Linked DNA regions of Lepisosteus oculatus. The protein of the gene in region 1 purifies or fractionates together with the protein of each later gene. This does not show direct contact. Links are inferred from orthologs where the notes say so. Each region holds a gene or a part of one and is shown on either strand. Other genes may lie near its edges.

What was found. Proteins that work in one complex are often made in the same cells at the same time.
Region 2: the proteins of ankyrin repeat domain-containing protein 46 (region 1) and atrn purify together in Homo sapiens (co-immunoprecipitation; 3 studies listed by BioGRID and IntAct, with this or other methods). This does not show direct contact. The link is inferred for Lepisosteus oculatus from reciprocal best matches to the Homo sapiens genes ANKRD46 and ATRN.

The regions. Positions count from the first base shown.
Region 1 is NC_090703.1:40,734,925-40,742,367, forward strand, and holds the start of ankyrin repeat domain-containing protein 46, read left to right. Parts: upstream 1-4,442; 5' UTR 4,443-4,561; intron 4,562-5,279; 5' UTR 5,280-5,311; coding exon 5,312-5,622; intron 5,623-5,723; coding exon 5,724-5,882; intron 5,883-7,443. Other genes in the region: cysteine protease ATG4A, read right to left, coding at 2,440-2,449.
Region 2 is NC_090696.1:1,300,315-1,308,031, reverse strand, and holds the start of atrn (attractin), read right to left. Parts: upstream 3,010-7,717; 5' UTR 2,542-3,009; coding exon 2,264-2,541; intron 1-2,263. UniProt on the Homo sapiens protein: Involved in the initial immune cell clustering during inflammatory response and may regulate chemotactic activity of chemokines. May play a role in melanocortin signaling pathways that regulate energy homeostasis and hair color.

The sequences.
Region 1 (7,443 bases):
GACGAGAGTTCTGCAGCTGGTAGCGAGGAACTATCAGCCTGTGTGAGGACATTACTCTTGACACCTGTGCCACTACCTCGTCACCTGGCTACATATACAGGACTACGAAGGTAAGATGTTAAAGAAACGTCCTGAAAACAATGCTTCAAGGCACATTGTCTGTAATTTCCTAAAGTTCGAACTTCTTCATTGTGCTGTCTCACAAATGAGCCAAACAATACTGAAAAGTCAATTCAGGGGTATGACGGGCAGTTAATTTTCTAATAAAACGATCTGCAGTAATCTGTATTCCAGAGGCCTCTCTCCTCCCGGTCTCTCATGTGACCCCTGACACAGAAGCACAAAGCATGATCCCACCAGGAGGGACAGGGAAAACCGAAATCAGGGTCCAGGACCCAAGGCTATCAGGCTACCCATGCAAGTAATAATAATAATAATAATAATAATAATAATAATAATAATAATAATAGCAGCTTACACTTATATAGTGCTTTTCTTGACACTCCACTCAAAGCGCTTTACAGGTAATGGGGACTCCCCTCCACCACCACCAATGTGCAGCCCCACCAGGATGATGCGACGGCAGCCATAGTGCACCAGAACACTCACCACACACCAGCTATCAGTGGGGAGGAGAACAGAGTAATGAAGCCAGGACCAGGCTCATCTGCTTAGCTTCAGTGGGTTGCTAGTTGTGAGTTGCAGCATTGAACCTCTGTAGACCAGGTTGAAAAAAAGGCACATTTTCCTGGGTAATCAATTTGCCTACATAAGTTATCAGCAGCCATATCACCCTGGAACTCACAAGTGGTAACCCACTGAAGCTAAGCAGGTGTGAGCCTGGTCAGTACCTGGATGGGAGACCTAAAACTAAGGTTGCTGCTGGAAGAGGTGTTAGTGGGGCCAGCAGGGGGTGCTCACCCTCTGGTCCATGTGGGTCCTAATGCCCCAGTATGGTAACGGGGACACTATACTGTAAACAGGCATAGTCCTTCGGATGAGATGTAAAACCGAGGTCCTGACTCTCTGTGGTCAATAAGAATCCCAGGGTGTTTCTCGAAAATAGTAGGGGTGTAACCCTGGCGCCCTGGCCAAATTTCCCATTGGCTCTTACCAATTAATAACCTCCTAATAATCCCCATCTATCAATTGACTTCATTACTCTGCTCTCCTCCCCACGGATAGCTGGTGAGTGTTCTGGTGCACTATGGCTGCTGTCACATTGGTGGTGGAGGGGAGTCCCCATTACCTTTAAAGCACTTTGAGTGGAGTGTCATATATATAAGTGTAAGGAATTCTTAATTATTATTATACAAGTAACCCTCTCTGCTGGTCAAATGAATCTCCCAACCAATTAACTGACTTTTTCAGTCAATAGGTTTAAAAGACAGCACGATCAGAAACAGCCGCATACTGTAGTTCAGAGCATCTCTGAACCTCTCCTGCACATCTGCGAGTTATTGAATACCCGTCAGAAGATCCTAGATCAGGAGAGGTGCTTAAACTGTGTATTTTAGACCGGGACTGTCCAATTCAGAACTGTTAATCCGGACACGCAAAACTGAAAGATCGTTGGGGTTTAAGTGGTCCGGTTAAGCCAGTAACCCAGACGGTTTTGGTTTTCACGAGCAGCACTTGAATGACAGCTCGCAGATACTCCGCCCCTCCAGAATCCGAGCTAGGACAGCCCTTTTATTAGACGGAACCTCAAACTCCGGTCGGCTACATTGAATCTGTCCTTTCCGCAAACACTGCGACTGTGCAGTTAACACGGAGAGACAATAAGAAAACTAGCCCCATGATGACGCCGCAGACATTATGCTGCGCCTGAAATCTCCGAGACTTTCTACATCTGGAAAAGCCAGATCTTCCGGGACTTCAGAGATTTGGAGTATCTGTATTACAGATTCAGGCGTGTTTTTGAAAACAGAAAAAAAAAAACACAGTCGATTTTGCGAGCTGTACCAATGGGACAGATTTTCTACTGATGTTGCTATTTATTATTAGCTATTAAATACTAAACGTATTCTGACCAATGCCAGAAATTATATCAAGGACCGAAAAAAATGAGAGGATACACCGAAACGAACATCGCTAAGCAAAAAAAAGGGGTTTTATTTATATACCGGCTCTATATCTTAATTGCCCAATCCCACCAAAAACCAATACAAACTCACATTAATTAAGTAATAAAAAAGATCGTTGCTTTAAGGAATTCAAACACAGAGAATCCAATCTGTAAAGTTTACACTTAACGAGGGCCAGATAGAAACAATACAGAAACTTCCAACTCAGATGTGTATCCAGAAACGCAGTGTTAAAGATGAACGGAATTCTTTCTGTACGGTTTTGCTGAAGAGCCTAATTAATCATGACAAAAAATCACTTTTATGTTTAATCTTTACGACGATTTTTAGCCTCGGAGAGTGATATTCTTACCTGCCTCCATCCTCCGGCTGTCAACTGGGTTTAAAGCGGTGAAATAAAAAAATAGTGCGCGCTGCACTGTGGGGAATGTAGTTCCTGGTGGTGGCATCTCTAGGCGACGATAGGGATCATAAACTACAACTACCGGTAGGCAATGTTATGGTACTAGGCGTTAATAGAAACTGAAAACACTGAGGTGCGTTGTGGGTATTGGTGTTTCACGGGTAGGTTTCATTTCCAGTGCCTAATTCCGTTATTTTTATTACTAGTACTACTACTACTACTACTCCTACTTCTTAAAATGCTTTAGAGATTTTGTTCTTCATCCAAAAGCAAAAACACTCCAGAAACTCTTGTCCAGAGATTTATGTCTTTCCACCACCATGCTTGATAAAAGAGCAAGTACAGTCCAGAACGGTTGCCCAAAAAAGAATGAACCCTAAAGTGTAAACAGATACTGTACTCGACAGTAATATAACTGCCCACCCTCTTCAAAACTGTTCCTACTCTACACTTTCATTGTATGATCCAGTATTACTGCAATTTCTGAGCTTTGTATTGTAATGCTTTTCTTTTAACAACAATAGTCTGTACTTTTAGATCTTGGAATTTGTAGCTGTTAGTGTTTTCGTGTGGTGGTTGTGCTACATAACATGCTACATGTTATTGCAGCGCACTGATTTTTTACATATCACATTTTCTTTTCTCCAGTATAAGAACTGCACAGGATGGGCCCATCTGCGATATATAAATAATTTCTTTGATACAACATAAAGGCAAAGTCCGACAAACATAATCAACTATGAACACATGGGTTTTTCTAAAGGTAATACGGTCATCTTCAGTATTTTCCCAGTGTCTTAAATACAGTACTTGTTTTTTCATTGTATAAAACAATCAATGATTGGTTGCATTTGATCCCAAAAGTGCTTTACAAATAGGAGGGGACCCACATCTCTCTCACTAAACTACACCATCCTGCACCAGCAATACCAACATACAGCAGACCAGGTGGTGAGGAGAGAAATTATTTCACCATTTAATTTAGGGAAGACTTTAAGAAGGCCTGCATTTCCACATTGAATTGAATGTATTCAGAAAACTGGGGTTAATATCCCTAAAATTTGGAAAAGTGCAATTTATTTTTACATTTAATAACCAAGAAGTCAGGAACTCAGTTTGAAAGTCTCAATGAAAGACGGCACCTATTTCAGCACACTGTCTCTGTCACCAGGCAGGGACATTGGATTGTGAATTATTATAATGAATGTACCCAGCATCTATATCATACTGTAACTCACAACTGGCAATCCACTGAAGTGCAGCAGGTTTGAGCCTGGCCTGCACCTGGATGGGAGACCTCCTGGGAAAAGCTATAGTTGCTAGTGGAAGAGGTGATAGTGGGGCCAGTAGGTCCTGACTCTCTGTTGTCATTAAAAATCCCAAGGCACTTCTTGAAAAGAGTAGGGGTGTAACCCTGGTATCCTGGCCTCCTAATAATCTATGACTTGGCTTCATTACTCTGTTCTTCAACCCACTGATAGCTGATGTGTGGAGAGCCTACTGTCCACAGTTTGGTTGTCATTTCATCGTTAAGGTGGATGCTGCACATTATGCAAGAAATTCTTTCTTCTTATTATTATTAAATTCTGTTATGGGTGAAGAGAACCACTTACTGGTCCACCAGTGCTACTTATAGCAGGTGCCCAGTTTTCATGGCGATCTACCATTCCAGTACTGACCAGGCCCAGTCTTCTCAGCTTTTCAGATCTGGCAACACCTTCCTAATTTGCCCTCTACTATTACTACATTGAGTCTTTATACCTTATATGATGTTAAATTCTATTTTGAAAGCTTGTAATGATACCTTTTTTATTTAAAACGGCGATTCTGACTCGTAGATTTAGATTGCTGTGTCTTATATAATGATGGGTCAATCTCCCTTACAAGTGAGTAGGCGGCTCCTGACTGGGGTAACCATGGAAACGAGACAGCTCCTACTGCCGTAAAGCACCCTGATGTAGACGTGAAATTGTCAGGTCCGTTTACGGGTGGTTTGTGTCGTCTTAGATCGGCAACAAAATAAAAAGGAAAAGAGGCATATTTTTTCGGTTCTTTTGCAAAACATAATCAGGTAATGGGTAATACTGCTGCTTTCGGGAAGTTTGCTTAAGACTGCTTATGTAAATACGATGCATGTAAGCGAGTCGTCTTGATGATGAAGGTTTTTTGAAAGGATGTTTTAAGCAGAATCCAATTTAGTGGATCTGTGACGGCTTAGGTGCATCCTAAATTATTTCTTTTCTTTGCTGGAATGTATTTATATTTTATACGATTCTTGGCGTGCATCTGTGCTTAAACATAGGCATCACCCGTTAAGGTACGCTTCGGTTTAGCTCGGGAGGTCCAGGCGATGTCGTGTGTTTATTAATTTGTGATGTAATGGTTTACTATCGGCTCTCCGTTGCGGTGCAGAGTTGGGGCGTACCTGTGGGATCGGTGTGTACCCAGATGAGCGCATCCGATCCGAAGGGGGCGGATGTGAACTCTCCTTTTCTGCGCTTGATGGAGATTTCGTTCTTTATGTTACGATGTTTATGGGACCGCACTCGTGACGCAGTAATTTTGTATTAAAAATAAAAGCAAATCTGGAAAAATGTATTAAATCTTTTCTCGCTTCGTTAACCGTACATGTTTTTTTTAGGGTTAATGTCCAAGTGATGACAGGCTTTCATAGCCCAGTGCGAGTTTGAGGGTGTGACAGACGCGCCGCCTATCTTACCCCAACACCACTTCACTAAAAGTTAACTTTCCAACACACCCTTCCCGGCGCTTGTTTTCTTGTCCCGCAGGTACCCTGGACTTTACCGACACCCACTCAGACATGTCGTATGTCTTCATCAATGACTCTTCCCAAACGAACGTGCCCCTGCTGCAGGCTTGCATCGACGGGGACCTGAACTACTCGAAGCGCCTCCTGGAAAGCGGCTTCGATCCCAATATCCGGGACAACCGCGGTCGTACGGGGCTGCACCTGGCGGCGGCCCGCGGCAACGTGGAGATCTGCCGGCTGCTGCACAAGTTCGGGGCCGACCTGCTGGCCACGGACTACCAGGGCAACACCGCGCTGCACCTCTGCGGCCACGTCGACACCATCCAGTTCCTGGTCTCGAACGGGCTCAAAATTGACATCTGGTAGGTGCAGACCCCCGTCTGTCCCATGTCAGAGTGCTGGGAACTCTTCCGCCCTTTGGGAGGCTGGGGCCTCAACCCGTCTCCTTGTGTTCCTGGCACAGCAATCACAACGGCGCCACTCCCCTGGTGCTGGCGAAGAGGAGAGGGGTCAACAAGGACGCCATCCGGCTGCTGGAGGGCCTGGAGGAGCAGGAGGTGAAGGGCTTCAACCGGGGGGCACACTCCAAGCTGGAGTCCATGCAGCTGGCCGAGAGCGAGAGGTGGGTGTGGGAGGAAGAGAGAGCCTTCTGGAGTACTGCTTGTGTACCGTTCTTTTGGGTCTGGCAGTCTGCCGAGACCCAGTTTCTAAAGTTCCGGCCAAAGCTGACACCAAAGCTGTAGTACTTTGTCTTGTTACTTGTGTGTGATTTTGGTAGTATGAAACAGAATGGTACACGAGGAGTGCACCTGTGATTTGTAGGCACATTTACTGAAGCAGAAAGGTTATGAGACTTGAGCTTTCTAAAGGCTATTCCATCAGTGCCCTCTGCAGTTTGAATGGAAACAGCCTCATAACTTTACTTCTTTACCATCCGGAGTGGTTGATGTTAATGTGTTTTGCTAGCTAATGATCAACTTGAAAAGACTTCTCCCTTCCTGTACCGGCAATACTGTTTAATGAGAAAAGAGCTTCCAAAAGTTTTACCTCAGATAACCTGAGAACACGTAAATGGCAAAACCTTTCAAAACTTGATTCCAGCATCACATCTGCGTCATCTGATACTGGTTCAGTTCAAAAACAGGGCATTGGCAGTAAATGTCAGCAGCCATATTACCCTGCAACTCACAACTGGCAACCCACTGAAGCTCAGCAGATGTGAGCCTGGTCAGTACCTGGATGGGAGACCTCCTGGGAAAAACTAAGGTTGATGCTGGAAGAGGTGTTAGTGGGGCCAGCAGGGAGTGCTCACCCTGCAGTCTATGTGGGTCCTATTGCCCCAGTATGGTGATGAGGACACTGTACTATAAAAAGGTGCCGTCCTTCTGATGAGATGCAAGAGAGAGGTCCTGACTCTCTGTGGTCATTAAAGTTCCCAGGGTGCTTCTCGAAAAGAGTAGGGGTGTAACCCCGGTGTCCTGGCCAAATTTCCAATTGGCCCTTACTAATCATGGCCTCCTAATAATCCCCCTCTATGAATTGGCTACATTACTCTGCTCTCCTCCCCACTGATAGCTGATGTGTGGTGAGCGTTCTGGCGCACTATGGCTGCCGTCGCATCATCCAGGTGGATGCTGCACATTGGTGGTGGTGGAGGGGAGTCCCCATTACCTGTAAAGCGCTTTGAGTGGAGTGTCCAGAAAAGCGCTATATAAGTGTAAGCAATTATTATTATTATAATTATTATTATTATTATTTCTCAAAATGAGAAGGGATGGAACCCCGGTGTCCTGTCCAAAGTTTGCATCTTGGCCTCCTAATAATCCCCATCTATGAATTGGTTTCATTACTCTGTTCTCCTCCCCACTATTGGCTAATGTGTGGTGAGTGTTCTGGTGCACTATGGCTGCAGGTACATTGGTGGTGGTGGAGGGGAGTTCCCATTACCTGGAAAGCGCTTTGAGTGGAGTGTCCAGAAAAGGGCTATATAAACTCAAGCAATTATTATTATAAATGCCTTACTTTCACCCCAAATTACAATAATCTGTGCTGTAAACGTTAAAGAAGCAGTTTTAGACACTGAGACAATAGAATGTAATGGTAGTGTAACTGTTAGTGTTGTTGCCTCACAATTCTTTGGTGAATTTTTAACCACCTTATGGAAGGAGTTTACATGTTCCCCA
Region 2 (7,717 bases), on another chromosome or scaffold:
CTCTTCTCTCAGACTGCAGAGGGTTCTGCGGGGTCTTGCACACCCAGCACACCGTACACACAGTGGAGTCAACACGCAGGACGGCACCTACAGGCTAGAGGAACTGGCGAAAGGAGCACCATTACAGGTGTAGACCACCATTGATGAGAATTTATGACCATCTCCTGAAATTAATATTCAAAGAAGTTTTGAAAACAGACTGGAAAAACTTAAAGGAATGTCAGCAACAGAAACGGAAATGATACATAAGGTTAACATGTGCTCTGTCACCCAGTTTGTCAGACCAGCTGCAAAAAAATGCAGGTATTGATCTTGTCTTTTCATACAATCAGGAGAGTGAGGATGACAGGGCAAAAACACCAAATCAAAAATAAAAATAAAAAAAACACAAAACTCAAGCAAACTGGGAGACATTAAAGTGCAGAGCATCACGTGGAGGTAAAGAAATCTACAAGCTAGATACAAAACAGGAAATGCTGATATTGGAGAGATTACTTATCAAAAAACAGGACTTTATGTTGACATTATCTAGGCTACTGAACTACTATTATCTAGGCTATATCTACAAGACTTTGGGCAAGCAATATATTCAGCTACATAGTATAAATCTTAGAATTTAAATTGAGGGATGATGTGTTAAAGTTGTATAACACACTAATAATACCTCCTTATGAACATGGTCTACAATTTTCGTCACCCTGTAACAGAGAAAATACCATTCCTCTGGAATCTGTCCAGAGAGCAACCAGATACTTTCTGGGGTTTAAGGCAAAGCCCAATGCTTTTCAGTCCTGAACAGAGAAGAAAATGAGGGGACTTGATACAAGTATTCAAAAACCTCACAGGCCTTGACACAGCCAACCCAGGCGACTTCAGAACAAACAGCAAAACAGCCCAGAGAATAAGGGGAAACTACAAGGAAGTGCAATTAAAACTGAACAGGAGGCGCTTCTTTACACAAAGGGTTGTGGGAGTCTAGAACAAGCTACTCACCCTTGTTGTTGAAGCTGAGGCCCTGGTTTCTTTAAGGAAAACAGCTGGATGAGATCTTTAGGTCAACCATCCCAGAGATTTATTTCTTCGCTATGTCATTTTTGCCTAGATTCTTCTTTGTTAAACACCACACCAAACAGAAGGGCAGGCAGTCCTGAGAGGTGTGCTCTCTTTAGTGACCAGTCCACTTGGAGAGCTGCCTTTCTGAGGTGACCACATCTCACCAGGCACAACTTCAACAGTTTCGCCTCCTCTGCCCAGATGGTCACCCATGGAAACCCAGGAGAGCAGCCCCTACACCAGACAGACTTTCAGCCCCATTTGAGATTTCGCTCTCTGAAGGCAGGAACAATGAAATGTTTTCTACAGAACAAAGAGCTGAACTTCTGAAGACTAATGATGGGCCTGCAATTACTGGGTATTACGACTGCCAAGAATTAAGCAAAAATCCACATTTCAGACACCAGAGGTAGATTTCCTTGGAAAGCACCCTCAAGTACACCGGCGAGGGCTTGATCAATGCCGATGCAGACTGAACACTCTCTGTAATGAAATCCTGCAGCTCCAACACTACTGTGTCCCGGGACCCCATGCAGCTCCTGAGCATCTGTCTGCCCTCTACGCACTATCAGCAGCTGGAAACTGACATTTATTTAGCTGGGATATAATTCCCCCACTGAAACCCTGCAGGCAGATGTCCAGAGCGGGGAAGGGCGTTACGAGGTGAACTGCCCTGGGTCCCTGGGCCGGCCTGCGGGGTGCACAGCGCGAAGTCATGAAGACACAAAGCGACAGTACCGCTGTACTCGTCTCGGCAGCGTGAGGACAAGCAAGGCTTGAGACGCCGCAGTGCCGCCCGAGCGCATCACAGGTCGCCAGGTGACAGGACACCGGTGACGCTGTTCCCCAACTTGCTCATGTGCTCATGTTTCTCCCGGAGCCAGGACCCTCGGTAGGCCAGCTCACCCAGCCCAGCTTTTCCAGGGAGTCCGCCACAAAGCCAAGAGAACGGATCGCGACCGGGCCGGTACCGGCCCCGCTGCCTGTGCCTGCTCATGTGTTCATCGTAATGTAATCACACACTGTGGACCCCCAGAGCACAGTGTGTGCAGTGCTGCACGTCTGGGAGCCAGACTTCCGCACTCAAGTCCCTCTGCGACTACCGGCTGCACTTCATCGCCCCACGAGAAAAAACAAACGCCGTCCTGCCCCACGACAGCAGCTCCCGCAAGCCGACCCCCAGCCCCCACTCCCCACTCCCCGGGCTTACCTGAATCTGCCCCCGCAGTGCTGGCACTGGTCCCCCACCCAGCCGGGGTCGCACTGGCAGTATCCCACGGCCGTGCTGCACTGCCCGTTCAGGCAGGGCTTGTCGCACTCCTTCCCCTCGCACGGAGCAGGAAGCCCGGCCACGAAGACGAACAGCGCCGACAGGAGGAGCAGCGGTGCCCGCCTGGGCCCCAGCGAGCCCGGGGCCCTCGCCCGGTACACACCGCGGCTGCAGCCGCCGCCGGAGCGCCAGCAGGCCCGCCGCCTATCCCTCTGCATCCTGGCACGGAGTTGCTCGCCTGTGTTTTCGGCTCGCCTCCGCTCTGCCCCTCGACCTCAGGTGGGACTAGTCGCAATGGATTCCGGCGACGGTGTCAGAGTTGTACCAGTATTATCTTCTTCCTTGAGCGAATTAATTCACAAGCAAGCCCTTCCAGCCGCTCTCCCCGTCTCCCGTTATATTCCCTCTCTCCCCCCTCTCCTTGCCCACACACGCAAAGGCACCTGGAAATGACGTCCCGGCCGGAGAAGCGGGGGATTCAAGCCCGGGGAGCGACGCCAGAGCAACACCGGGGGCAGGCGGTTCTGCGCCGGGTCTCCTCACCAGCACGGGGGCCGACGAGTGAGACACGTATTCTCTCGCTGCCGATTTACGGAAGAAAACCAGACTCGTTTGCTTCCAACTGCGAGCGCGATATTCACAAAGCCCTACTGAAAGGCAGAGCAATCATGACGTACTGATTATTTATCCAAGTTCAATAAGCGCTTCGTCCAGCGCAGGAGTGCGGTGATGAGGCGGAGACTGGTGGGCACATAGCAAGAATTTGCACAATTTAGAAACCGCTATTATATCTACACAGAGTGACGTTAAAGTAAATATGAATAAACTCAAGTAGGGAGCTGCATCAGCATACATAGGCTGTAAAAGAACAAGTAAAGGTTTATTCCAGATACACTCACACCAGGGCCCAGTTTCCCAGAAGCCAATTAACCTACCAGTATGCCTTTGGACTGGGGGAGGAAACCAATATAAACTAAGGGAGAACATACCCATTGATACAGTACCCATTGAACATACCCATTGATGCTCAGGTCAGTGCTGCTAACCCCTGTCCCACCATGCCACCCACTAATTTACTTGTAAACCAAAAAAAAGTGATATATTGGTTTTTTTGTGCAAAAAAGTACAAACATTCCCTAGTAAAAATAACAATCTCATATTACTTCATATGTGCATGATGACAAAATAGGATTTTCAAACATTTTAGATGCAGGAAAGACAGAAGTTCAAGACTGGGCACATTTCTGTGAGAAGACATGTGGAGTAAAAGTATAAAGCCAAGATAGGAGACAGAGGGCTAGATATGAAAATTCTTGGATGATTCTGTTCACACATTGTTTGCATCAGCTAGACAATGTGGTGAAACAGTAAAAAACAAGAAATGTTAGTACATGAAAGACCACATTTGCAACATTGTGTATAATTTTAGATACCTTGTCACATAAAGATGGTTGATTTAGAATCTGTCCAGAATAGAGTAACCACATATATTCCACAGTTTAAAGGAACATTCTATGCAAACAGGCTGAAAGAACAGAACCTTTTAAAACTTGAATGCAAAAGAAAAGGATTCCTGATCCAAGCATTCAAAATCATTATGTCACCCCTGTGGATCTCTTCACAATCAACCATTACCCACAAATCAGAGAGCAGAAGTGGAAACTGTGGAATTGGATTTAAAACAGAGTGCATTTGTTTACACAGAGAGTGGTGGGAGTGTGCAACAAGCTCTTCCGCCATGTTGAAGTTGATACCCTGGCTTCTTTCGTGATACAGCTGTGTGAGATCATTGGATCAATTAGCAGCTAACAATTAAGTGTCCTAGATAGGCTGAATGGCTTCATCACATTTCTATCATTTTTATGTTCTCATGTTCTCTTCCCTTGTGTAGTGTGGACGGCAGATACATCTTTTACACCGCCCCTCTCCCTTAAACATTCTGATGGTACAGTACAACCAATAACAAGCACAGGTAAAAGTTTATTCCATGCTGAAAGGAAAAGAAAAGAGACACAACTTTTCAGCTGTGGAGCCTTCTCCGTGCCTGAATTGTCCGAATGTGACCAATCCACAGCTCCACACCTCTGTGACACCTGAAGAAGGCTCAACAGCCAAAACGTTGTGTCTCTGTTCTTGTCCTGTCGGCATGGAATAAACCTTTACCTGTTCCTTTGCAGCCTATGCATGCTGACACAGCTGCCTACTTGAACTTCTTCAACCCATTACAAGTGTGATGAGGAACGAAGAGATGCGTCTTCTACTACTATCCTGATCTGTAGAAGTCAAAGCCTGCCCTCTGCTGGCCGTCATTGCCTACAGCAGCCGTATGTTTCAGCTCTTTCTGCTCCTCCTTCTGTCTGCCCGGAAAAACTGCGGTGCTTCTCCCAGCTTCCCCTTTCTCCCCGCTTTGCTTGCCATTTACTCTTAAACCCCTTATCCAAGTGTGAGCTACCCCTCTGCCTCAAGCTGCGTCAGCCCCATTCCCCACCCTGGCCTCCTCAACAAGCCTCAGTCCTCCTGGGAGATGCTCGGCCATGTAGTTGGAGCCGTTACCCTGGTTTCCTTCAGGAAATGGTAGGGTAAGATCCTACTGTCAGTTGGCTGCTAGAAACCAAATGTGTTGTAACTCCTCACCCCTCTCTCATTTCCTTTTTTTAAATAACTTATTAGCTTTTTAATGGCACAATTTTTAGTGTTACTGCTTCTCTGCTCTTAGATCCCGGAGTCAAGTGAGACTTTGGACATGATATACACCAGCAGCCCTATCACCCTGCGACCCACAGCTGGCAGCTCACTGAAGCCCAGCAGTGTGAGTCTGGCCAGTACCTGGATGAGAGACCGCCAGGGAAGCAAATGTTGCTGCTGGAAGAGGTGTTAATGGGGCCAGCAGCAGACGCTCACCCTGTGGTCCTAATGCCCCAGTATAGTAACAGGGATACTACTGTAAAATCCTTCGGATGAGACATAAAACTGAGGTCCTGACTCTCTGTGGTTATTAGCAATCCCGGGGCATTTCTCAAAAAGAGTAGGGGTGTTACCCCAGCGTCCTGGCTAAATTTCCCTTTGGCCCTTACCAATCATTGCCTCCTAATAATCCCCATCTCTGAACTGGCTTCATCACTCTGCTCTCCTCCCCACTGAGAGCTGGTGTGTGGGGAGAGTACTGGTGCATCATCCAGGTGGGGCTGCACACTGGTGGTGGTGGAGGGGTGTCCCCATTACCTGTAAAGCGCTTTGAGTGGAGTGTCCAGAAAAGTGCTATATAAGTGTAAGGAATTATTATAATAATAATTATTATTATTATTAATTGACATCTCTAAATAGTCCTGTGTGTGTACCATCCGATAGGCTGGCCAGCTACTTGCAGTCTTACTTGCAGCTACCCAATTACAATTCATTACTGTCTATGTACACATAATAAATGGATTAACCCCTTTATTGTCCTCGCTGAGGACGTGAATACGTGGAAATGTGCATCGGGCGATACGTGACGGTACCTACTGTATGACAAACCAGGCACATTTTATCAACAGGCATCTTTCCCAGAACTGTGGGACAAGTTATGGTGTCAAAAATCTAAACTACCTTGAGGAAGAATAGTAAAATTAATAGATTTGATAGTAAGAAAAAAAAAAGTATTTTAAGGTCTTATTTTCATCATGCAGGTGGGGCTGCACACTGGGAGTGTTGGAGGGGATCCCCATTACCTGTAAAGCGCTTTGAGTGTCCAGAAAAGCACTATATAAGTGTAAGTAATTATTATTATTATTATTATTATTATTATTATTATTTATGGTTGTCTCATTTGCTTTCTTGCTCTTGATGAGGCGAGCAAAGGAGCAGTGGGCAGTGTGAGGTCGCTAAAAAGCCCTTCAGGTCTGTATAGACTGTACGATTGAACACTGTGTAAGTGTAGCGAGTTTGATGAAAGACTTCCACTAAATATATTATTTGGTGTTGGGAAGAAAACCTTTTTATGTCTAAATAATGTGCTCTAAGCGCACAGATTTCTGGGCCCATGCTGTCACAGTGGAATTTTCACTTCTGAATTTTCTAGTTTTGTTCCAAGTGTTTCCCATAGTGGGGAACAGAGTTAAATGGTTGGGCTCGTGACTTATCTTAGCCCTGGGCCCCACAACAGCTTTCAGAGGCACCTATGGTTGGTCAGCTTTCTTCTGTCTCAACACTAGACTAAATCAGACTCCTCAAAAGGTTAGCTTATTGTAATCAATGGGCATGTCTTTGGTTTTTGACATTATTTTGAAGGCAGGAGTTGTTCCACCATTCAACCCAAAAATCCACTCCAGGCCCATGATCAGTGTCTACATGTTGGAGCAGACTGACACTGACACAGTCATCAGCAGACTTAATGACATGTCATTTCGGCCTTGGAGCCTTCTTCAGGTGAAGAAGAAGAAGACACCTGAAGAAGGCTCCATGGCCAAAACATTGTGTTCTCTTTCTTCTCTTTTCAGCATGGAGGTAACCTATTACTTGTTCCTTTGCAGCCTACGCATGCTGACGCAGCTCCCCACCTGAATTAATAACATGTCTGTTCTCAAAACACTGGGCAGCTGCAGCTTCAACTGAAAAGGAAAACGGAGCAAGAGAGATGGATAGGGGCACTGTATACAGTATGTCAATAAATGCAAATATAGGATTTCTGTACTGTTCTGTACTGTCATCCGCCTCATTGGGGTTATACTCAGATGCAGCTCTGTTGCTCTTCCCCATGCTTTGTCATGGCTTTGCAGCAGCTTTCCTCTCACCAGGCCAGCTGCCGCAGGAGCTCGCAGGACGTTACCATGAGCTCATGCATTTCTGTAGTGCTCACACACAGGAGGGGACCTGCTGCACCCCCCGCTCGGTGACACACAGTGACTGTTCTGCACTGGCACCCCCAGTAATCCCTGCTCCTCAGTGGATCACCGACAGAGGGGGAAACTGCTGCACCAACTGAATTAAGAGGAAATTTTAGGGAGGCCAGCAGACCTGGTGTTAACACAGGTGTTCTTATGCAGAGAGCTATGGGATCTTTAATTACTGCATGGTCAAGATTGCACTCTTAAGTCTCGTATGAAGGACAGCCCCCCCTGCAGCAGTGTCACCAGTCACCACACCTGGAATATCTGTCCAGAGGGGACAGCGCCACCTCTTGAAGCAGTAACCTGATTTTCCCTCGAAGTCACCCATCCCAGCACTGCCCTGGCACAGCAATGTTTAACTCCTGAGATCTGATGATGTGGGACTGCAGTCGAGGAGGAAGGAGGGTGATATCCAACAGAGGGGACGACTCTCTGTACAGTGGGAGGTAGCGCAGGAAAGGCGGAGGGTTACTCAGAGGGGAGGAGGGGGTCCTGGTTCCTCAGCACGGAAAAGACAAACAAAAGAGGA